4 linked regions of the Saccharomyces cerevisiae S288C genome follow. Changing the gene in region 2 together with the main gene of any one other region gives a genetic interaction. Each region holds a gene or a part of one and is shown on either strand. Other genes may lie near its edges.

Region 1 (5,890 bases), on a different chromosome or scaffold from region 2:
GGTCACATTATCACTATGAAAGATAAGTATAGAAGATCTTCAATGTTAATGAAAAACGATCCATATGTAATAGTTATAGCCCCTGATACCGAGGGACGAGCCGTTGGAGATCTTTATGTTGATGATGGAGAAACTTTTGGCTACCAAAGAGGTGAGTACGTAGAAACTCAGTTCATTTTCGAAAACAATACCTTAAAAAATGTTCGAAGTCATATTCCCGAGAATTTGACAGGCATTCACCACAATACTTTGAGGAATACCAATATTGAAAAAATCATTATCGCAAAGAATAATTTACAACACAACATAACGTTGAAAGACAGTATTAAAGTCAAAAAAAATGGCGAAGAAAGTTCATTGCCGACTAGATCGTCATATGAGAATGATAATAAGATCACCATTCTTAACCTATCGCTTGACATAACTGAAGATTGGGAAGTTATTTTTTGAGGGAAAAAAACGAAGTGATATCTTTACATCTTTTTAGCTCTTTCTTACAAAGTAAACGTAAAAATATCCGTAAATATAACATATAACCATTATCTATAGAAAAAAAAGAACCGAAAATTGTGTCAGGCCCTACTTCCCGTGAGCTAACTTCATTCTTGTCGAAAACTTGACTAGGGTCGTCCAGTCGCAAAACATATCACATTTCGGACATTTCCCACCTCGAGGTATCAAATTTCTTCTCCCTACCATCAACTGTTCATCATCTAGAAAGTACCTGTGAAGACATTTCAAGTGGTTAACACACCCACAGTCTTTATTATTGCAAAGCGCTACAAACGGCTTCAGATTTTGCTCTTCAGACGTGTAGTCAATTTCTTTCTCACAAATTTCACATCGCACTACCCCTGTAGTTAGTTTCTTTTCGAAAGTTTCGAATATGTTTCTTTCATTTTCAATGACTTTAGTGTATACAGCTTCCACCACTTTTAAATTCTCATCACTATGATCCATGAGAACATCCACAGTTTTCTCCTTTGGTTCTTCAAGCGCATTTTCATTTATTTGTATATTAATCGGAAATCTGTCTCTTTCAATAAAAAATTTGTCCTGTTTCCAAACCTCCCAAGCCTTTATATTAAAAACCTCGACTATCAAGTTCATCCTTTGAAAAAATTCATGCTTTAAAAGTAACTTCATTAATGCAACTTTGTGATGTAAAGTTCTTCCACCTGCTTTATGCTTTACAACACGATCTTTTTCGGCAATATAATGCGTTTGGTACCCATGTTGCCATGCATGTTCAAACTGTAAAGCTGCTATCTTACTTGGGAAGCCCCGCACAATCATTATCATTTCCCAGGGCCTTGAACCGTCACGTTTGGTTCGATATGCCCCTCCAACAGCCAATTTCCCATTATGCTGCCTCAAACGTCGTACTGGGTTAGGAGTTGATCCAACGTAAAATGATTGCCTCTTGTTAATCGATTGTAGTAGATAACAACAATAAAAATCAGGAAACTGATGCTGCTGTATTTTCTGCGACATGGTACCTTTCTTATCTTTTTAATATTTTTTGAAAAAAGAGAACATTAATTTGACAATATTTTTTCGATGATAGAAGGGAATAAGTCATCAGTGGTATATATTAAAATTAAAAAGAAAAGCAAACGGCTCATCAAACAAAACCATAGAAGACAAGGCACTCTAATTACATTTCACACTCATGTTGAAATCTGCAAGCCAAAACTTTTTTAGAGCTTATTCTAGTAGAATTGGTCGATATGCTGCTACAGCATCAGGGAAACTGGCACAGTCTCGTTTATCGAATATACCCACTCCAAAAGCATTGAAGAAATTCCTCGATGAGTACATTGTTGGTCAAGAGATTGGTAAGAAGGTTTTAAGCGTGGCAGTTTATAATCACTATTTAAGAATCAATGACAAGCAAAAGAAAGGGGAATTACAAAGGCAGAGAGAATTGATGGAACGAGAGAAAATCGCGGATGATAGGGATGAACCAATTTTCAGTGGAAACAGCGAATCAAAGGCTGGTTGGAGGAATCTTCAAAGACAGTTTAATTTAGCAGGTAGAGAGGTTGACGAAGATTTAGAGTTAAGCAAAAGTAATGTCCTTGTCGTTGGTCCCTCAGGTTCTGGTAAGACTTTGTTGGCAACAACATTGGCGAAAATATTAAACGTTCCAATTGCAATTACAGATTGTACACAATTGACTCAAGCAGGTTACATAGGTGAAGATGTTGAAGTATGCATTGAAAGATTGCTCGTAAATGCTGAATTTGATGTTGCGAGAGCAGAAAAAGGTATTATTGTTCTTGATGAGATTGATAAACTAGCCAAGCCTGCCGCAAGCATTGGCACTAAAGACGTGTCCGGAGAAGGGGTTCAACAGTCATTATTGAAAATCATTGAGGGCCATAAAGTGGAAATTACCGTTAAAAGGCCTGTTAAGCATGATATTGACGGACAAAAAAATCAAACTACAACAAAGAAGGACGAAGTATTTGTTGTAGACACTTCAAATATTCTTTTCATGATTATGGGAGCTTTTGTTGGTTTAGATAAGCATATTGTTAAAAGGATAGAAGATATGAAGAAAATACAGAAGGCAGGAGAGTCTGTTGAATCATCGAATAGTAAAGAAGTTGAAAAAGAAAGAGCGAAGAAGTTCAGATTTAGCAATACGCTTGAGCAGGTTGAATTAGATAACGGAAAAAAAGTGTGTGCTTTAGACTTGACCACCCCCACAGATTTAGTTAGCTTTGGTCTAATTCCTGAATTAATTGGCAGAGTCCCAATTATAACTGCTCTGCAGCCTCTACAAAGAGACGATTTATTTCATATATTAAAAGAACCTAAAAATGCCTTATTGGATCAATATGAATATATTTTTAAGCAATTTGGGGTAAGATTGTGTGTTACACAAAAGGCGCTAAAGAAAGTTGCTCAATTTGCTCTCAAGGAAGGAACTGGCGCCAGAGGGTTGAGAGGGATAATGGAAAGACTTCTGCTAAACGTTAATTATGATTGCCCGGGTTCTAACATAGCATACGTTTTAATCGACGAAGCTACTGTCGACTCGTTACAGGAAACAGAGCACTCTTTGGCTTCCCAAGTGGACGTAAAATACTATTCTGGTGATGAAAAGGACAGTTTAATTCGTGACGTTTCTGAAGAAGATAAAAAATTAGGAGTTATGCTAGAAAAAGAGTTGGGTCATTCTGCTAACATTCATACCCCAACAATTCCCAAGAGAAGCTTAACATAAAAAAAAATGAATGGTATAGAATATATAAATATAGATGTAATAAATGTAGTAAATGAACAAATAATCTTCCTACAAAGTACTATGCCATGGGAAGTAAAAAAAATTAATAAATATTGGCTAAAGTGTTTCAAATTGGTTCTACGATACTGGGAGACTACTCCTTATCATAATGCTTTTTGTCCAGTAGTAAAAATTGAAGTAATTCTTGAACAATTTAAAAAAAAATTGGAACGGCGGCACAATTATTTGGTATATGGCAGCTTTGGCTTTTGCGCCACCACATACAAAGTTCTAAAGCAGCCAGCGTTGTCATCGATTTTTCCTATGTGTTCTTCCACATATCTTTTGAAAAGAGTGGTGGGGTCGGTATCCTTTGGAGGACAACTACTATCTGGTAGTTGCCTCCTTAACATGTAGTCCCACATATCTAAAGAATTAAATTCATTCAAAAAGCCCATATCTGTTTTGAAGTCACCAGTTTTCAAACTTAGGACCGAGGACTTGATGCCTGTAAACCCTACATCCTTGAATGTCCTCGTTAAGTGTTTTGTAGGATGGATATGTAAGCCTTTATTTATCGCATCAATAGCCATAGCATCAAATGTCTTGTCCCGTTCTTTTGTAGTCAAAAACTCTTCTGATGAATTATTTGCTTTTTCGGCATCGGCGTTGCCAAGAATTCCAGTATAGTATGTGTTTGAAATCCTTAAATCTGGAACAATTGCCAGCGCGTACCCGCCAGGAATTATTGATCTGTATATTTCCCTAAGTAGAGCTTTCCATTTATAATAACTTAAACTTGTCCAGACCCACGGGCATATTACAGCAGGTATAGTGTCTGATGCAAACGGCAGTCTTAATTTTAAATATTCTTTACCATAAATAGCTGCGCTTTTTGCCCTGTCAAGTCCTTCATTTGGAAAGGAGTTATCCGAATTAGAGGATATTGGTGATGACAAAGGTGGTTCATCTTCAGGCTGAAGTTGTGCATTAGAGGACCTCTTCACTTCCTTTGGCAAAATAAATTGGGTCGGTAAATCGATTTCTTTGTAGTTGTTCAAAGTCCGGCAAAAAAAATTCTCCAACCATTCATTTTGATGTGCTTGGTTGGCTGATTTGACATGGGGAGCTTTCTCTGTCCGAGGGGGACTAGAGATATGTGACTGTGGTTGAATTTTTGGAGAAGAAGAAGAAGATATGCTAGGTGAAACTGAAGGGCTTGTAGTATGTGAAGTTGATGCAAGTTGAGAATGCTTTCTCTTGAAAAAGTTGACGAAACCAGATTTTTTAGTAGCCTTGGTAGGGCTCTTCTTCCTTTTGACAGCATCTGCTCCCGAGGACGGCAATGATAAAGATCTACTTGAAGCGAATTGGTCGTTTAGAGGGTCTTCCTCAACTCCCTGATTGAAGTTGTTTCTAGAAATACGTTCTTTTGCATCATCTGTAAAGAACTTTCTATTCATGCAATCATACATATACTCTGAAGCATTGGAAGAATTCAATTCGATAACTTCTTGTTCGTCAGAAACTATTTTCGCTCTTGAACCCTTTCGTGGCAAATAATTTTGTAAGTTTGTTAAATACTCAGGAGCAATTTCACTAGCATTCTTATTCTGAGCGTCATTGTCACTGCTGTCAATCATCCAGGGAGATAAATCTAATGCGAAATCTGCGATGTTCAAGCTTGGTTCATCATACGCCAGCTGCCAACCGCCCAGGGTTTTATGCAGCGGTCTTATTAATAAGATGTCAATTTCGTCTAATGGATCCGATATTACTGGCCTTGGAGAGTTTGCTTCTATATCTAACTGCTGAATATATAATGTAGGGTCACTGATCTTGTTGCTGGTGGTGCTGATTGTTGGATTAGAATGTTGTCTTGTGGTTGGTTTTCTTTTTATTAGTTCCTCCACTACTTCAGATGAAAAGAAGAATGAATTTGATTGCAGTAAAAATTTTTGAGATTGAGCCAACCATAATTGAATCAAGGATTCAATTTCAGAATAATCTTTTAACGGGTCAAACGATGGAAAGCATTTAACCTCAGTCTCTATATTTATGATGTTTTCAATGTTAAATGGATAACATTCAAATGCATATTTCCTAGATTCCAAATATTTTGTTAGGAAATCAATGTACGACCGTAATCTTTTCTTGGCAAATATTAAAGAGTCTTCTGGCGAGGAGTCCATGTTAAAAGATAGAAACAAGTCCATTCTATTAAAGAGCTCATTATGATTCGGGTCGTACATTATTTGTTTGAATTCACCGTCTATGCAAATGTTGATTAAATTATGATTTCCTGAAACGGTTTTGATTAGAAGAGAAGAATCTGATGCCGGTAAAGTGTTCCAGTCCCATTTTTTTCTAGAATGGAGTTTCTTGACAACGTTCGAAGTTGCACCGTGTAGACCACCACCTCCCCGGCCATTGCCGACCATATTGGATACAATGAATCGCGGTGCAGAAGGGTCTGGTGAGTAATTAGCTTTCACTTCGGAAGTCGGAGTTCCGCTTCTATGACTATGTTTATTATTACTTGTATGATGATGATGTAGACCTATTTTGGAAAGCTGAGCGGACTTCAGTTTGGATACTGAGGATGAGGCAGCGGAGTCAGATGATCGTCTTGACGAGTTTGAGAACAAGTCATCC
Region 2 (5,869 bases):
TTCTTACTGATGTAAGTTAATTAGAAGGAGTGATATCTGTAAGAGTGGAAATTAAGCGCCCATCTTTTTTATAATGTTGGCTGAACAGATATCCGGGTAAATGTTACTTTAACGAGTTTTTTTCTTTTGTCATATTTTCCAACAAGAGATTAATGAACATTTCTCGATGTAGCGTACATATTTATGTGTACAAGAAGTGGTGTGTGTTGATACTGCACTGTTTTATACAAGTTTTTATACTGCATATCCATATAGAATTGATGAAAATCTTCCATACTGTCGAAGAAGTTGTTCAATGGAGAACACAGGAGCTGAGGGAAACTAGATTTAGAGAAACTATTGGGTTCGTTCCCACAATGGGTTGCCTGCATTCGGGTCACGCTAGTTTGATCTCGCAGTCTGTGAAGGAAAACACCTATACTGTGGTCAGTATATTTGTAAATCCCTCCCAGTTTGCGCCAACGGAAGATCTAGATAACTATCCTCGAACTTTGCCAGACGACATCAAATTGCTTGAGTCGTTGAAGGTGGATGTTCTATTTGCTCCTAATGCACACGTGATGTATCCACAGGGAATTCCGCTCGACATAGAAGAGCAGAAAGGCCCTTTTGTTAGTGTTCTTGGATTGAGTGAAAAATTAGAGGGGAAGACGAGACCTAACTTCTTTAGGGGCGTGGCAACTGTCGTGACTAAACTATTCAATATCGTTATGGCGGATGTGGCTTATTTTGGGCAGAAGGACATTCAACAGTTCATTGTTTTACAGTGTATGGTGGACGAACTGTTTGTTAATACAAGGCTACAAATGATGCCTATTGTAAGAAACAATAATGGACTGGCTCTGAGTAGTAGAAACAAATATCTTTGTCCAGAGTCTTTAAAGATCTCTGAAAACCTTTACCGCGGGCTGAAAGCTGCGGAAAATGCTATTAGGAGACTAGCACCAGGGGGACGTCTCTCCAGATCAGAAATCATCGATACTGTGACTCAAATATGGGCACCCTACGTTGATTCCCACGATTTCAAAATCGACTATGTTTCCTTAGCAGATTTTAAGACTCTTGATGAACTCTCCGATGTTGAAAACACCAGCGAACAGCAGCCAATAGTCATTAGTTGTGCTGTATACGTGACTGACCGCGAAAAACCCGATACGGTCGTCAGACTAATAGATAACATCGTTATTTAAACTAGGTGATTGGGCCTTCCCGTGTCTGTGTTGCAGTATATACCACTCTTATACAGTATGCACGATATTCTTTTAAACCAACAACGGGATGATAGATTTCACGCTTGATGACTTTTTTTTTAGACGGCTGAAGGGACGACATCCCCATCGCTCAAAACACAAATATGGAAAGGACAAATCGTCTTTCACAGTTTGCATAGTAAAAGCAAAGTTTATACTACTTCAGCAAAGTTGAAGTTGTTTGGCACTTGTTTCGTGCTTTCTCAAATATCTTAGATCACCGTCTGTCTAGAGCATATATCTATTGTTTGACGCACCCCTTTTACAAAAAAAAAAAAAAGAAACAGATCTATTAAGTAATAAAAAAGTTATTTAGGAAATAAGGTGCAGTAAGCTTCCTGAGGCATAATCATTATACTTTTAAAATCTATATTTTTGGGTTATTGTTGAAATATTTTCTTACAAAGCCCATTTCTCGTTTTTGACAATTTTTCTTATCAGTTGTGACTTCTCTTATCGATAAGCAATATTGAAGTCCTAATCACAAAAGCAAAAAAAATCTGCCAGGAACAGTAAACATATGGTTTTGGAATACCAACAAAGGGAAGGTAAAGGATCCTCATCTAAAAGCATGCCACCTGATTCCTCGTCAACGACTATTCACACATGCTCTGAAGCACAAACTGGGGAAGACAAAGGCTTACTTGACCCTCATCTATCAGTATTGGAATTGTTGAGTAAGACAGGGCATTCGCCTTCGCCAATGGGACAGAACTTGGTTACGTCCATTGACATATCCGGCAACCACAATGTAAACGATAGTATATCAGGATCGTGGCAAGCCATTCAGCCTTTGGACTTGGGCGCTTCTTTCATCCCAGAAAGGTGCTCTTCTCAAACGACTAATGGAAGTATTCTATCATCTAGTGATACTTCTGAAGAAGAACAAGAGCTGCTTCAAGCGCCTGCTGCTGATATAATAAATATTATTAAACAAGGACAAGAAGGAGCAAATGTCGTTTCACCGTCTCATCCCTTTAAACAGTTACAGAAGATAATATCGCTGCCCTTGCCTGGTAAGGAAAAAACTCCTTTTAACGAGCAAGATGATGATGGTGATGAAGATGAGGCTTTTGAGGAAGATAGTGTGACGATAACAAAAAGCTTGACTTCTTCGACAAACTCTTTTGTTATGCCCAAACTATCACTAACACAAAAGAATCCAGTTTTTCGCCTTCTAATACTGGGAAGGACTGGTTCCAGCTTTTATCAATCAATACCAAAAGAATACCAATCTCTTTTTGAATTACCCAAATATCACGATTCCGCAACATTCCCGCAATATACGGGGATTGTCATAATTTTTCAGGAGCTGAGAGAGATGGTATCTCTGCTAAACAGGATCGTTCAATATTCTCAAGGCAAGCCTGTAATACCGATCTGCCAGCCTGGGCAAGTCATCCAAGTGAAAAACGTCCTGAAGTCATTCTTAAGGAATAAACTTGTTAAATTATTGTTTCCTCCAGTTGTTGTGACCAACAAAAGAGATTTGAAAAAAATGTTTCAAAGATTACAAGATTTATCCTTGGAATACGGAGAAGATGTGAATGAGGAAGATAATGATGACGAAGCTATACATACAAAGTCTCGGTCCTATTGTCGTAACAAAAAAGCCGAAAACTCAAAAAAGAAATCCCCTAAATCGAATAAAAAACCCAAGAGAAAGAAGCAGAAGTTCTTCACGAGCTGGTTCACTTGGGGCATTTCAATTACTATAGGAATTAGTTTTGGATGTTGTGTGACATACTTTGTCACTGCAGCATACGAACACCAAACAGTTAAGTCTTTAAGTTTGCGGCCCTCCATATTGGCCTCTTTACTTTCCTTAGATTCCTCTAGCGACACAATCAATACGCCCGCCACTGCATCTCCTTCTTCAACTGAGCAGTTTTTATGGTTTGATAAGGGTACGCTTCAGATAAACTTCCACTCCGATGGATTCATTATGAAAAGTCTTACCATAATCAAGGAGACTTGGGGCAAAATGAATACTTTTGTCTTGCATGCTCTTTCTAAACCTTTAAAATTTTTGGAGAACCTTAATAAAAGCTCTGAATTTTCCATTGATGAATCTAATCGGATTTTGGCACTGGGTTATATTCTATTGTAACCTTTTTCCAATATACACAAACATACACGTTCCTACTCACTTTTTTACTATCACTTCTGTTTCTCTCACTGCGTATCTATATTCCCCGTTTGGTTCCTTTCCTTAATTACATAGAAGCTTATCAAATATGAAAATTCTTTCATTATACAGGCAATTTTTTGTTTGGTTTCATAAATACATAAACAAACAGCTTATAAAATATTTCTTCTGTTAGCAAATTTAAGTTTCTTTATATATTCCTTACTTTCGCGTCTCAACACAAAAAAACAATTAAAAATCAACCATAGCGCATAGAGCGTATTCCGACGACTTCAAGGAAACTATCGCTGTAAATGTGAATGCATTTAGAAGTTACTATTATCGCCTTTGACATCATATTTGAAATATTCTACCTTCATGTACTTAAACGCCCAAATTACCCGATCTTTTTGCGCCGCGCGTTAATATTTCCTCTTCGCATTTTTTAGTGATTATTACTACATAAATTTGGGATTAATAGTTCATCGAAAACAGCACGAACAAAAGCCAACTCACTACATTTTAGCAGATTCCGTCCGGAGTTTTGATTCTGTCCTTGTTTGTTGTTTTCCATTTCCTACTACGAATTCTATAAAGACAGGTAACAGCAGTGGAGAAGATCTTATAGATCTATCATCCAATTATAATAAGCATAGAATTGAAATAAGAACACGTTGGGTATAATCTACTTTGTTTTGATTTAACAATACAAATGCGATTTGGCCTGCCATCAAAATTGGAACTCACTCCTCCGTTTAGGATAGGCATCCGAACTCAACTAACGGCACTAGTTAGTATAGTGGCTTTGGGCTCACTGATTATTCTGGCTGTAACGACAGGGGTCTATTTTACCTCGAACTATAAAAATTTAAGGTCCGATAGACTGTACATTGCCGCTCAGTTAAAGTCATCACAGATTGACCAAACTCTAAACTACTTATATTACCAGGCGTACTATTTGGCATCAAGAGACGCCCTGCAAAGCTCACTAACAAGTTACGTTGCAGGTAACAAGAGTGCAGATAATTGGGTAGATTCCTTGAGTGTGATTCAAAAATTTTTGAGCTCTTCAAACTTGTTTTATGTTGCTAAAGTTTACGATTCTTCATTTAATGCTGTTTTGAACGCTACGAATAATGGAACTGGTGATCTAATTCCAGAAGATGTTTTAGACAGTTTGTTCCCATTATCCACCGATACACCGCTACCTTCTTCACTGGAAACTATAGGTATATTGACGGATCCAGTACTAAATAGCACCGACTATTTGATGTCTATGTCTTTACCTATTTTTGCCAATCCTTCTATTATCTTGACTGATTCAAGGGTTTACGGATACATTACTATAATAATGTCGGCAGAGGGTCTGAAAAGTGTGTTCAACGATACAACTGCTTTAGAACATTCCACAATTGCCATTATTTCTGCAGTATATAATAGTCAAGGCAAAGCTTCAGGGTATCATTTTGTCTTTCCACCGTATGGATCACGATCAGACCTCCCGCAAAAAGTTTTTTCTATAAAAAATGATACATTCATTAGTAGCGCATTTAGAAACGGGAAGGGAGGGTCTTTGAAACAAACCAATATCCTTTCTACACGGAATACTGCTTTAGGCTATTCACCATGTTCGTTTAACCTAGTTAATTGGGTCGCGATAGTTTCACAGCCTGAGTCGGTTTTCCTTTCTCCAGCAACGAAACTAGCAAAAATCATCACCGGCACTGTCATCGCTATTGGTGTCTTTGTCATTTTGTTAACCCTTCCTCTAGCACACTGGGCAGTGCAACCAATTGTACGTCTACAAAAGGCAACTGAATTAATTACAGAGGGGAGAGGCCTTCGACCGAGCACCCCAAGAACGATAAGCAGAGCCAGTTCATTCAAAAGAGGATTTAGTTCTGGATTTGCTGTTCCTTCTTCGTTATTACAATTTAATACTGCTGAAGCTGGCAGCACCACAAGCGTAAGTGGCCATGGAGGCAGTGGCCATGGCAGTGGTGCAGCTTTTTCAGCAAATAGTAGCATGAAAAGCGCTATAAACCTTGGAAATGAGAAAATGTCACCTCCAGAGGAGGAGAACAAAATACCGAATAACCACACCGATGCTAAAATATCAATGGATGGCTCGCTAAATCACGATTTGCTTGGACCACATTCCTTGAGACATAATGACACTGACAGAAGTTCCAATAGATCTCACATTCTCACAACTTCTGCAAATTTAACTGAAGCTAGGCTACCAGATTATAGAAGACTATTTTCTGATGAACTTTCCGATTTAACAGAAACCTTCAATACTATGACAGACGCATTAGACCAACATTATGCTCTTCTAGAAGAAAGAGTTAGGGCGAGGACAAAACAACTCGAAGCTGCCAAGATTGAGGCAGAGGCCGCAAATGAAGCAAAAACCGTCTTTATTGCCAATATTTCGCACGAATTGAGAACGCCTTTAAATGGTATTCTGGGTATGACGGCTATTTCAATG
Region 3 (6,314 bases), on a different chromosome or scaffold from region 2:
GCCTATGATATGTATGAGTCGTGCTTTTCCGTCTGGTTTAATAAGTGTTCGAGTCAGCTCAAATCGCATTTTTGTCTTGAAGCTTCCGCCAAAAGAAAAAAAAAGTCGTTAATAGCGATACAAGTAAGCAATTAACTATCACACCATAGAATGAGTTGACAAGAGTACTTATTTGATGGCTTTACTGAACTATGTATACACGTCCTTCATACATGGAACTTAGCTTTATCCTAAAAATTTTTATAATGTCACAGTCTTTATATCTAAATCCTTGTGAACAAAAGCTTTGTTACCACCAGCACCAAGGTAGTCACTAGCAACCTGGCCGTCACCTCTTATTTGGTATTGATAACTCACCAGACCGTCCAAGCCAACTGGACCACGGGCGTGAATCTTAGAGGTAGAAATACCCACTTCAGCACCAAAACCGTACCTGAAACCATCGGCAAATCTAGTTGATGCATTCCAGTAAACACCAGAGGAGTCGACACCCTTCATAAATTTTTCAGCGTTTGCTTTATTTTCCGTTACAATAGCGTCGGTATGTCTCGAAGAGTGTGTATTTATATGTTGAATGGCCGATTCTGTAGATGTAACAAACTTGGCAGCCAAATCCAAGGATAAAAATTCCTTATCAAAATCTTGCTCCTCATCAGCATCAACGGTTTTGCATTGAATTGCTTCTGTCAATTTCCCTAACTCATTCAGTTTATCAAAATACGCAGTTTTCAAATCTTTTGTAGCGTGGATAGTCACTCCGCCTTCCAAAGTTAAGTTTTCCAGAACTTCCCACCACTTAGAGAATTTTGGGTTAATCAACAACGTTTCCATAGCGTTGCAACCAGCTGGGTAGTTAGTCTTTGCATCCAAACTAATTCTTTTTGCCTTAATCAAATCTGCGTCTTCATCCAAGTAAATTGAGCAGATACCATCCGCATGACCCAACACGGGAATTTTTGTAGTGTCCTTGATTTTTCTGACTAAGGCATTGGAACCACGAGGAACAACTAAGTCGATGTACTCATCTTGATCCAACAAGTCGGAAACATCCTGTCTGGTTTCGATCAATTGCACAGAGCCCACAGGAACACCAGTCTCACTTTGGAATTGTGCAATGGTGTCGTTAACGATCTTTGCCATTTCTCTGAACGTGTTCACAGACTCTTTACCACCCTTCAAAATTGCAGCATTACCAGACTTGATACTCAATGCGGTAATATTGGCAATAACTTCTGGACGGGATTCAAAGATAACTAACAAAACGCCGACTGGAGCGGTTACTTGGTACAACGTCAAGCCATCATCTAATTCCCTGGCCATTTTAACCTTGCCAACAGGGTCTTCTAGTTCGGCTACATCCTTAATACCTTGTAACATAACTTCAAATTTGTCCCCTTTAAATAGGTCGAGACGTTTCAATAAAGAATCCGCTAGGCCAGTCTCTTTGGCAACAGCTAAATCGATTTTATTCGCTTCTTCAATGGCATGCGCATTAGCCTTCAGGGCATCGTGAATTTTGTATAAAATATCTGATCTGCCCTCGTTTGAGATGGTTTTCAAAATATTCCCTGCTTTACGGGCATTTTTGGCTATTTGTTGTGAACTGGACATCTTTATATTGGTTGCCTGTGCTCCTTTTTGTTCTTACTCTTTTTACCAATACGCTTTTACTTTTTCTCTTCTTTTCTTGAAGCTTTTTGAAAAACGTCTGTCGACTTTTTTCATTTTTTGACTCATTGACCCAACGCCACAAATGAACAAAGAAATTTGGCCACTGCATCGCCTTTCCTGCCCCATTGATTCAAATGTCCATGCGCGTTGATTGATGTGTGATATATATATATATATATATGTATATAGATGTATATTATTATGTTCAGAGGTGATTTTATCTTTGTACGCGTACCATTTTTGTAAAGTGACCTTGTTTTGACTTTTTAACGAGTAAAAAAACGAGTTAACAAATTCTTGACGTAAACGATAAAGCCGCCCATCAAAAGAAATGCAATAATGTCAATGATGAAATACCTATACAGGTAGATGGATTTCGTGTTGTTCTTCGATTTATTTAACACGTTTTTCAGCTCTATCAAACTATCCATTTCCCTTAGAGAGGACTTTTGTTTATTTAATCTCTCTTGGCAAACCTCCATTCTCCTTTCCAATCCTTGTAATTGCGCTACACTTTCTTCGACTGATATCTTTAATTCATTAATAAACGCCTTATTGTCATCCTCGTCAAAGTCTGATTTCAACTTGACCAAGAATTGATTAATCACCGTGGTTCGCAAGGTGGTCATTTCGTCTAATAAAAGGGTTAACTCTCCTGATAGAAGATCATACTTTTGGATAGTTTTTTGAACGTTGTTTTCATTCTTGATTATTGTATCGTTTAAATTTCTTCTCATCTCATTCTCGATCTTCACTAGAAGTGTCGAAATATGATTTTGATAATAATTCAATTCATCAATGTTATCATTCAAATTTGAGTTGCTCTTCGAAATAGAGTTTGAGCTAGAATCAGGAGTGGCTGCGGAGCCATTATTATTGTTCACCTTCAGTACACTCTTGAACCTAGTGGAAGAATCCGCTGACTTCTGCCTATTCAGTAAATACTTAAATCCCAAGGTATCGGTGCCAGGTGCAGTGGAAGAGCCTGATGAATTCCTTGGTTTCCTCTGGTTAGTCAAATATCCTAAAGAGGGATATACACCGTTTAAACTTCTTCTATCCACATCTTCTGAATCTGATGAGGTGGATGACGTGGACGAAAAGGCTGATGACGACAAAAATGCTGGTACATTAGAACGGGAATACAGAAATGACGAAGAATCGTTGACAGCAGAACCGTCCAAATCATGATAAAACAAAGATGTGCTGGGGGAGGAGTTTACGGAAATTTGTGATTGAGAATGCATATTCCCTAATTTAATGCCGCCAGCGGTGGATGAGGGCTCAAACACTACCGACTCCCTCAACGTATCAAATGGGTCTGAATTTCCCAAAGAAGGCTGTAAAAATTGGTTAACCAATCGTTTCCTCTCATAATCAAAAGAACCAGCGGATGATCTACGTTGCGAAGAGGAGGAACCCTGTATTTGATTGAAAGCTAGCCCAGTATGACAGCTTTGGAAAACGGACATCGAACCACGACGTCCTTTACTAAGGCAAGACAATCTGGCCCTATTAGAGTTGAAGTCGGTTTTCGGCGACACTCTGAATGGATCATCCAAACTGGATGCCCCACTATATGATCTACTGTGTCGACCTACTCTGTTATCGATGTCATCTTCAAACAAAAAATCGCTAAACTTCCCGGTTTTGGTCGATCCCAGGACAGGTAAGCTAGTCATTTCCAATGAACGTTGTCGTACCCCATGTGCCCTATTCTTTGTCACATATAAATGTCTCCTATCATGCAGCGCAGGCTGTTCCTCCTTTTCTTTCTCCCTTTCCTTTTGTAACAACGATCCCAAGTTTACTTCAGTGCTTGGTCTTGGGACCACCGGATTATCATTCACTGCTATGACAGGTAATCTAGAAGATGATTTCGAAAAGTGTGCAACATTTGTTTTAGCTTGTAGAGGTTCCGGCTGCGGCTGCGGCTGTAGACCGGATTCTTTTATCTTCACTGCGTCGCCACTGGAAGCCCTTCTTCCCTTACAAAAGCCTCTTGGGAATGAAGGAGGTAACAGGGTACAGTTCCTCGATCCGGGATTCTCCATCCGGTCAATTAGCAAGTTCATTTTCACTTAATGTATCAACTATAACTTAAACCAAAAAAAAAAAAAAATTTAGATATGGGAAGGTCTTTTCCTCCACAAATAGGGTGAACTATCCGACCCAGATCAATAAATAAATAGGCTCGAAGACGCCTCAGAACTCCGGTCACTGGTTTGTCTTGTTGATATACGATGTGCCAAGCGCCGTTTCTCGATGCTTATCTGGTTTAGTTTACGCTGTTAAAACCAAAACCCCAACAGATTTTCGACCCTAACGTATGTAGGGCTAAAATAGATATTGAGTAGGTTACAATTAATTATTGGCAATTGCACCTAGTGACACATTTACGAAAACGTAGGGCAAAAACTATTACCCGACCCAGGGCTATTTTGTGATTTTTTCCTTTTTTTTGTTTATGATCGCGCTTCTCGAAAAGCCAAATATCAGAAATCCCAAACACGCCTTCATTTGATACGATTCGTAGCCTGCGTTTCAGAGATCTATCAACTTTGCAAGGCCAATCAGAGAACAAAAAAGTCTCGCAAAGTCATTTCACTTTTCTCGCTTGAAATTATTCGTTCGATTTCTGGCTGCTTGCTTGTTTTTTGTTTTCTAAGGTACTATTCGACACCATTCCATTGGACAGCGATACTTATACCATTGTACATATAGGACATAAAAACAGCAGATATTACAGCGTATAATGTCTTTTGAAGTGGGTACACGATGCTGGTATCCCCATAAAGAATTGGGCTGGATTGGGGCGGAAGTAATCAAAAATGAGTTCAACGACGGCAAGTACCACCTGGAGTTACAATTGGAAGACGATGAAATCGTGTCCGTGGACACAAAAGACTTGAATAACGATAAGGACCAATCTCTACCGCTTCTTAGAAACCCTCCCATTTTGGAAGCAACGGAAGATTTGACCTCTTTATCTTACTTGAATGAGCCAGCTGTTTTACATGCCATCAAACAGCGCTATTCTCAATTGAATATCTACACATACTCGGGTATTGTTCTGATTGCTACAAACCCTTTTGATCGTGTCGACCAGCTTTATACACAAGACATGATCCAAGCATATGCGGGAAAGCGCAGAGGTGAACTGGAACCTCACTTGTTTGCCATTGCCGAAGAAGCGTATAGGTTGATGAAAAATGACAAACAAAATCAAACCATTGTGGTAAGTGGTGAATCTGGTGCTGGAAAAACGGTTTCTGCCAAGTATATTATGCGTTATTTTGCTTCTGTAGAAGAGGAAAATTCCGCTACTGTACAACATCAAGTGGAAATGTCGGAAACAGAACAAAAGATTCTAGCTACAAACCCTATCATGGAAGCATTTGGTAATGCTAAGACTACCAGAAATGACAATTCTTCCAGATTTGGTAAGTATCTAGAAATTTTATTCGATAAGGACACATCTATTATTGGAGCAAGGATCCGCACATACTTGTTGGAACGGTCCAGATTAGTTTACCAGCCGCCAATTGAGAGAAACTACCACATATTTTATCAATTAATGGCTGGATTACCAGCTCAAACCAAGGAGGAATTGCATCTTACCGATGCCTCAGATTACTTCTACATGAACCAAGGCGGTGACACCAAGATCAACGGTATTGATGATGCCAAAGAATACAAAATTACAGTAGATGCATTGACATTAGTCGGAATCACCAAGGAAACTCAACACCAAATATTTAAGATCTTGGCCGCACTTCTGCATATCGGTAACATAGAAATTAAAAAAACTAGAAATGATGCATCACTATCAGCTGATGAGCCAAACCTGAAACTGGCGTGCGAATTGCTGGGAATTGATGCCTACAACTTTGCCAAATGGGTCACCAAAAAGCAGATCATTACAAGGTCAGAGAAAATTGTTTCGAATCTAAATTATAGTCAAGCTCTGGTTGCCAAAGATTCCGTGGCTAAGTTTATTTATTCCGCCCTTTTCGATTGGCTTGTGGAAAATATCAACACCGTGTTATGCAACCCGGCTGTGAACGACCAAATTAGCTCATTTATTGGTGTTCTGGATATTTATGGGTTTGAACATTTTGAAAAAAATTCATTTGAACAATTTTGTATTAACTATGCCAACGAAAAACTACAACAAGAGTTCAACCAACATGTTTTCAAATTAGAGCAAGAAGAATACGTTAAAGAAGAAATTGAATGGTCTTTTATAGAGTTTAATGATAATCAACCTTGTATTGATCTGATTGAAAACAAGTTGGGTATTTTATCACTGCTTGACGAAGAAAGTAGGTTACCTGCTGGTTCCGACGAATCTTGGACCCAAAAACTTTATCAAACTTTGGATAAATCTCCTACGAACAAAGTATTTTCTAAACCAAGATTCGGGCAAACTAAATTTATCGTGAGCCATTATGCTCTAGATGTCGCTTATGATGTGGAAGGATTTATTGAAAAAAATAGAGACACCGTATCTGACGGACATTTGGAAGTGTTGAAGGCTTCTACCAACGAGACACTAATAAATATCTTAGAGGGATTAGAAAAAGCTGCCAAAAAACTGGAAGAAGCGAAAAAGCTTGAATTAGAGCAGGCTGGCAGTAAAA
Region 4 (5,143 bases), on a different chromosome or scaffold from region 2:
GTATATTTTCTTGAATAGGTTCTTCTCCATAGAATTGCCTCCTGAATTTAAATTCGAATGTGATTGGTCCTTCATTTCACTAAATTTCTTGATGAAGTGGTAAAGTTTTTTACGTGACATAATTGGATTTGGCAAGTATCGCGGTATCTTGTTTTTTGATCTGAAACAATTGGATAAAATGTAAAAAACGAAAATCACTGATGAGACACTATCTCTTCGTAGCGATAGTAAGGCTCTCGTGGTTTCAATATCAAAATCCTGATCCCAAATTTCAAAAAATGCACCTGAAATTCTCGCTTCAATGATCTTAGATAACAAAAATTGGCATGAATTGATTAGACTTGCGTACTTCTCAGGATTGAAGTTGGAAATAATGATTGGCTCATGACGGGCTTTCTTCAAAAGTTCCCTGATTGCTTCAAGACTTTGAGTCAGTCTAACTTCACGAATGTGGGAAAATGCGAAAGTTAAATCAGTAGGTGCGTCGTCGGCATCCCTGTATAAATACCGGTCCGCCACGGTTTGGTAGGACTGGCCCAAGTGTGCCAGTAATGATGACATACTATCTCTTAGTTCTGTCCTAGCTCTAAAGGGCCACACTATCCAGTTGATGGGAATCGAAACCAAAATACCGATAATAAGTGCCAAGCCTGTAACCCACGTAGATTTCCATATTCCAGCGGTGGTTAAGTTATAATGTCTATTAGGTTTGCTGTATGGTTCAAGAGCAATTATGGTAAAGCACATTAATGCAGTGAAGCTCGATTTGGTGTTTCTATAGACAAGAAAGTTGATGCTAAATGGGACCACGATCAGACCAGCAAACGTGCAAACCACGTATGGACTACCAAAATGTCTCGATTGGTTGGCAGCCCACCCCCAAAAGATACCTACTATACCACAGATTAATCTCCTCATTACCAACGCCCAGTTACCAGAGTATCTTCTATGTGCTAATAAGTAAAACGTGAGTGGGGCCCACCAACAATGAAATTCTTGGTACCAGTGATAGGATTCAGGTAGCCAAGTTGGTAGACACAAAAATATCATACAAAAAGTAATCTTTAGTGTCCACTTACATTCATCACCAGATAAAATTCTACTCAATTTCCATAGTTTAAATCTCCAAGGATTTTGAGTTGTATGAAAATTGAAGTCGTTGTGATCAATTGCTCTGATGGAAATAGTGTGGTTTTTGCGATTCTGTGACTTTTCGTCACCACCTTGTGAATCAAGTCTCAGCGCTTCTTCTTCGCCTTTGTTATACTTGTGTCTTGACGTGTAGGTGTTATAAACTCTTTCAAAAATTTCATCGACATCACGTTTGGCCTCAAAATAATGAAGAACATTTCCTGCACCTTCATCGAGAACACATTGTTTGGGCAATCTTGTCAACGCACGAGACAGTGGATATGATGGCAGAGCAATTCTCCAGTGAATATTCTCACCCAAAACTTGGCAATCGTGGATAACAGTAACTAGCTGCCTTGCGGAGTTTCTCAAATATCTTAGAAAAAGGAAAATATCGACAGACTCTTCGTCATTCAACAGTTCCTGTGAAAAAAAACTAGAATTCACAAAATCCCTGTAACAAACATCTAGTTTGTAAATTTTCCTCTTTAATTTAGAATGCGAGTGACTTAATATTTTGACACACTCATCTAAGTTGTTTTTTTGATTTGGAGACTCGTATTTCTTTAGTACTCTTGATAGATTTTCCAAAACGAAGATCATTTCCAGTATTAAGTTGAAGATGCTTTTCGAGAAGGACGCCTTTAATGCATTAATGTAGATTTCATTTTTTAAAAGCCCCGGACCGATAGGCTTAAAGGCACTGGGCGTGTTTTCTCTTGTTGGAATTCCTGAAGATTGAGGGCTAGCGCTTGCTTCTTTGCTCAGGGTCGCAGAATCCGATCTATACTTCTCCAATTCTTCATACATCTTTTTCAATTCATCATCATTAAAAATTTTGGGTGCAATGGGTAATACTCTCAGAGAAGTTTCCATGGCAGTTAAAGAATTTCTTAAACTCTTCAACGATTGAAGGTCAAACCTGGAAATTGTCAACTGATTTACAAAATCTCTAAAACCTTGAGATAAATCAATGTTTAGTGTTTTCACCATTTTTACTTGGGCTAGGTAAATTTGTTCTTTGGACTTTATTAATTCAGTATCTACTAGTGCCATTAAAAAGGTCTTTGTGGTCTGTAGACACTTGTTATAATGTTCCATTAACTCTGCATTGCCACTATGTGGTGATACACATACACAAACCAAGAGAGATAGCAAAAGGCCGAAGAGATATGAGATTCCAAAATCCCAAAAAATTTGCCACTTCAAATCAAACTTGGATGAGGCCAACCGAACTGTATGAGTGAATATAATCGATATCGAAAACGAAGTTGTGAAATAGAAGAACCGACGGTAAACAGACCTTAGCCAGATGGCAAATAAGAGGGCCATAGTCAGACTCTGAAATAAAATTCCTCCCTGGTAGTTTGCGGTCGGCTTTGTCGCTGTGGAAATGTACCATGCCAAAGCCGACCATCCCAGGCCAAAACTTGCGCCGATAATGGAGCTTATAGTCATTTCCAGTTGAACACCAATATTTCTGACCGGATGATGTATAAGTACTGCGATGGGTAGAAAATACCTGAACTCATGGCCAATCCACCTACCAGAAGGCCTGATAACGCAAATCACGATAGCAATGAAATAAGCAATAAAAAACTTGAATATGGATACCCCATTTTTTCTAATATCTCTAGGGAAATGAATAATGGGCCTGTAGATAGCAGTCCAAACATATTCGGAAAGCTTGGTAAAACCAGATTGCAGTTTTTTCCTTGCAGCGCCATTGTCGTCATCGATGTCGCTGTTAGGAGACCTAGCTTTGCTGTCCGGCTTGGTAAAAGCAGCATCAAAAAACCCATCTCTCAGCTCTTCCAGCCCAAAGTCCTCTACTTCCTCCCAGTGTTTGTCCTTAACCAAATTTTCCAGCCGCATTTGCGATAAGGATGCCACGGATTGTTGTGGGCTTCCTGCAAAGCTAAGCCCGCTTATACCGGCAGGATTCTTATAGTTAAGTTCATGTAGTGACCTGAGTGATGTTTGAGAGTATGAACCTTTCACAATATCAGGATCAGGAGTGGGACTTCGATCTCGCTCATATCTTTTCATGAGGACCTGTTACAATTCCAGCACTATACTGTACATGCTTTCCTTAGTGGAGCACAAAGCAAGTTAAAAATGAACTTTAAATTGATTAAAGTGTTAGTGACGCTTAAACTCGTTTTCCTGCGCGTATTTCACGCAATCTATACATAATCATCTTTGATAATGTTATATCGCCTTTCATTTCCAGATTTTGTTCACTGAAAAGTCTTATCGGAAACCTAACTTTGGGCGACAGGGTTATTGTTTATAATTTGTAGGTGTTCCATTTTTTTCTTTGTACTTTTTTAGGTTAACGTAATATTTAATTAGGTCATTTTTAGGGCGTTTAGTATTAGAAAAATTCATTTGTACACACTATTAAGAGGAAGGCAAACTATATTTACATTTTATTGAGGAAAAGGGTTCATCGAGGAGTTATCAAGAAAAGCGTTTGTTAGTAGTAGTTTGCGACAGTGGAGATGGCAGCTGCACCATGGTATATTAGACAGCGTGACACGGATTTATTGGGTAAATTCAAGTTCATACAGAATCAAGAAGACGGCAGATTAAGGGAAGCTACAAACGGAACGGTGAATTCACGATGGTCGTTGGGGGTCAGCATAGAACCTCGTAACGATGCTAGAAACAGATACGTTAACATTATGCCGTATGAGAGGAACCGCGTTCATTTGAAGACTCTATCCGGGAATGATTACATTAATGCCTCGTATGTCAAAGTGAACGTGCCAGGGCAGAGCATCGAACCGGGCTACTATATTGCTACTCAAGGTCCCACGCGTAAAACTTGGGATCAGTTTTGGCAAATGTGCTATCACAATTGTCCTTTAGACAATATTGTCATTGTGATGGTCACGCCTCTGGTAGAATACAATAGGGAGAAGTGCTACCAGTACTGGCCTCGCGGTGGTGTAGACGATACGGTTAGAATAGCATCAAAATGGGAAAGTCCGGGCGGCGCCAATGATATGACTCAATTTCCCTCTGATTTGAAAATAGAGTTTGTTAACGTACATAAGGTGAAGGACTATTATACGGTCACCGATATCAAACTCACACCCACGGACCCTCTTGTAGGACCTGTCAAAACTGTTCACCACTTTTACTTCGACCTTTGGAAAGATATGAACAAGCCAGAGGAAGTAGTACCCATAATGGAATTATGCGCTCACTCCCACAGCTTGAATTCCCGCGGGAACCCCATTATCGTACACTGTTCCGCAGGCGTGGGCAGAACGGGGACGTTCATTGCCCTAGATCATCTCATGCATGATACCTTGGATTTTAAAAATATTACAGAACGGTCAAGGCATTCAGACAGGGCTACAGAGGAGTACACACGGGACTTGATCGAACAGATCGTGTTACAGTTGCGCTCGCAAAGAATGAAAATGGTTCAGACAAAGGATCAGTTCCTATTTATCTACCATGCTGCCAAGTATCTTAACAGTCTTTCCGTGAACCAATAGACAGCTATATAAAAGTTCCTAATTGTGCATTTTTTCAATAACAATACTTATTCATCCTTATAATTATATTCTAGCTTCGTTGTCATGGGAACATAGCCCATACACCGCAGTTATTTATGATCATTTCGAACGGGAAGTATGGATGAATCTTTTTTTTTTTTTTTTTATAGCACGCAACTGAAAAAAAAAAAAAGAAAAATTTTTCATCTTCGCTCGACGTTTCTTTTGTAGTACTCATCTCTTTTTATATAAAGATTAATTAGTTATTGTCGCTTTGCTTTTCCTTCTTTAAAAAATGTTTCTTGCTTTTGGATTTTCAGATGTCCCAAGATCATTACAGTATTTTAATTGAACAAAATGGCTGAAGGTGTTTTCCAAGGTGCTATCGGTATCGATTTAGGTACAACCTACTCTTGTGTTGCTACTTACGAATCCTCCGTTGAAATTATTGCCAACGAACAAGGTAACAGAGTCACCCCATCTTTCGTTGCTTTCACTCC

The links.
Region 1: mutations in ATG32 (region 2) and MCX1 together harm fitness more than expected from each alone (negative genetic interaction), as found in Saccharomyces cerevisiae (2 studies listed by BioGRID).
Region 3: mutations in ATG32 (region 2) and FRT1 together harm fitness more than expected from each alone (negative genetic interaction), as found in Saccharomyces cerevisiae (2 studies listed by BioGRID).
Region 4: mutations in ATG32 (region 2) and PTP1 together harm fitness more than expected from each alone (negative genetic interaction), as found in Saccharomyces cerevisiae (2 studies listed by BioGRID).

What each region holds. Positions count from the first base shown.
Region 1 is NC_001134.8:670,917-676,806, reverse strand, and holds MCX1 (Mcx1p), read left to right. Parts: upstream 1-1,672; coding exon 1,673-3,235; downstream 3,236-5,890. Other genes in the region: glucan 1,3-alpha-glucosidase ROT2, read left to right, coding at 1-450; SLX1 (endonuclease), read right to left, coding at 580-1,494; YBR225W (uncharacterized protein), read right to left, coding at 3,478-5,890. UniProt on the Saccharomyces cerevisiae protein: ATP-dependent unfoldase that stimulates the incorporation of the pyridoxal phosphate cofactor into 5-aminolevulinate synthase (HEM1), thereby activating 5-aminolevulinate (ALA) synthesis, the first step in heme biosynthesis. Up-regulates heme biosynthesis.
Region 2 is NC_001141.2:71,675-77,543, reverse strand, and holds ATG32 (mitophagy protein ATG32), read left to right. Parts: upstream 1-1,770; coding exon 1,771-3,360; downstream 3,361-5,869. Other genes in the region: pantoate--beta-alanine ligase PAN6, read left to right, coding at 261-1,190; SLN1 (histidine kinase), read left to right, coding at 4,091-5,869. UniProt on the Saccharomyces cerevisiae protein: Mitophagy-specific receptor that recruits the autophagic machinery to mitochondria and regulates selective degradation of mitochondria.
Region 3 is NC_001147.6:921,295-927,608, forward strand, and holds FRT1 (Frt1p), read right to left. Parts: upstream 3,747-6,314; coding exon 1,938-3,746; downstream 1-1,937. Other genes in the region: PRO2 (glutamate-5-semialdehyde dehydrogenase), read right to left, coding at 241-1,611; MYO2 (myosin 2), read left to right, coding at 4,427-6,314.
Region 4 is NC_001136.10:39,065-44,207, forward strand, and holds PTP1 (tyrosine protein phosphatase PTP1), read left to right. Parts: upstream 1-3,635; coding exon 3,636-4,643; downstream 4,644-5,143. Other genes in the region: BRE4 (Bre4p), read right to left, coding at 1-3,180; Hsp70 family ATPase SSB1, read left to right, coding at 5,001-5,143. UniProt on the Saccharomyces cerevisiae protein: Is not required for vegetative growth.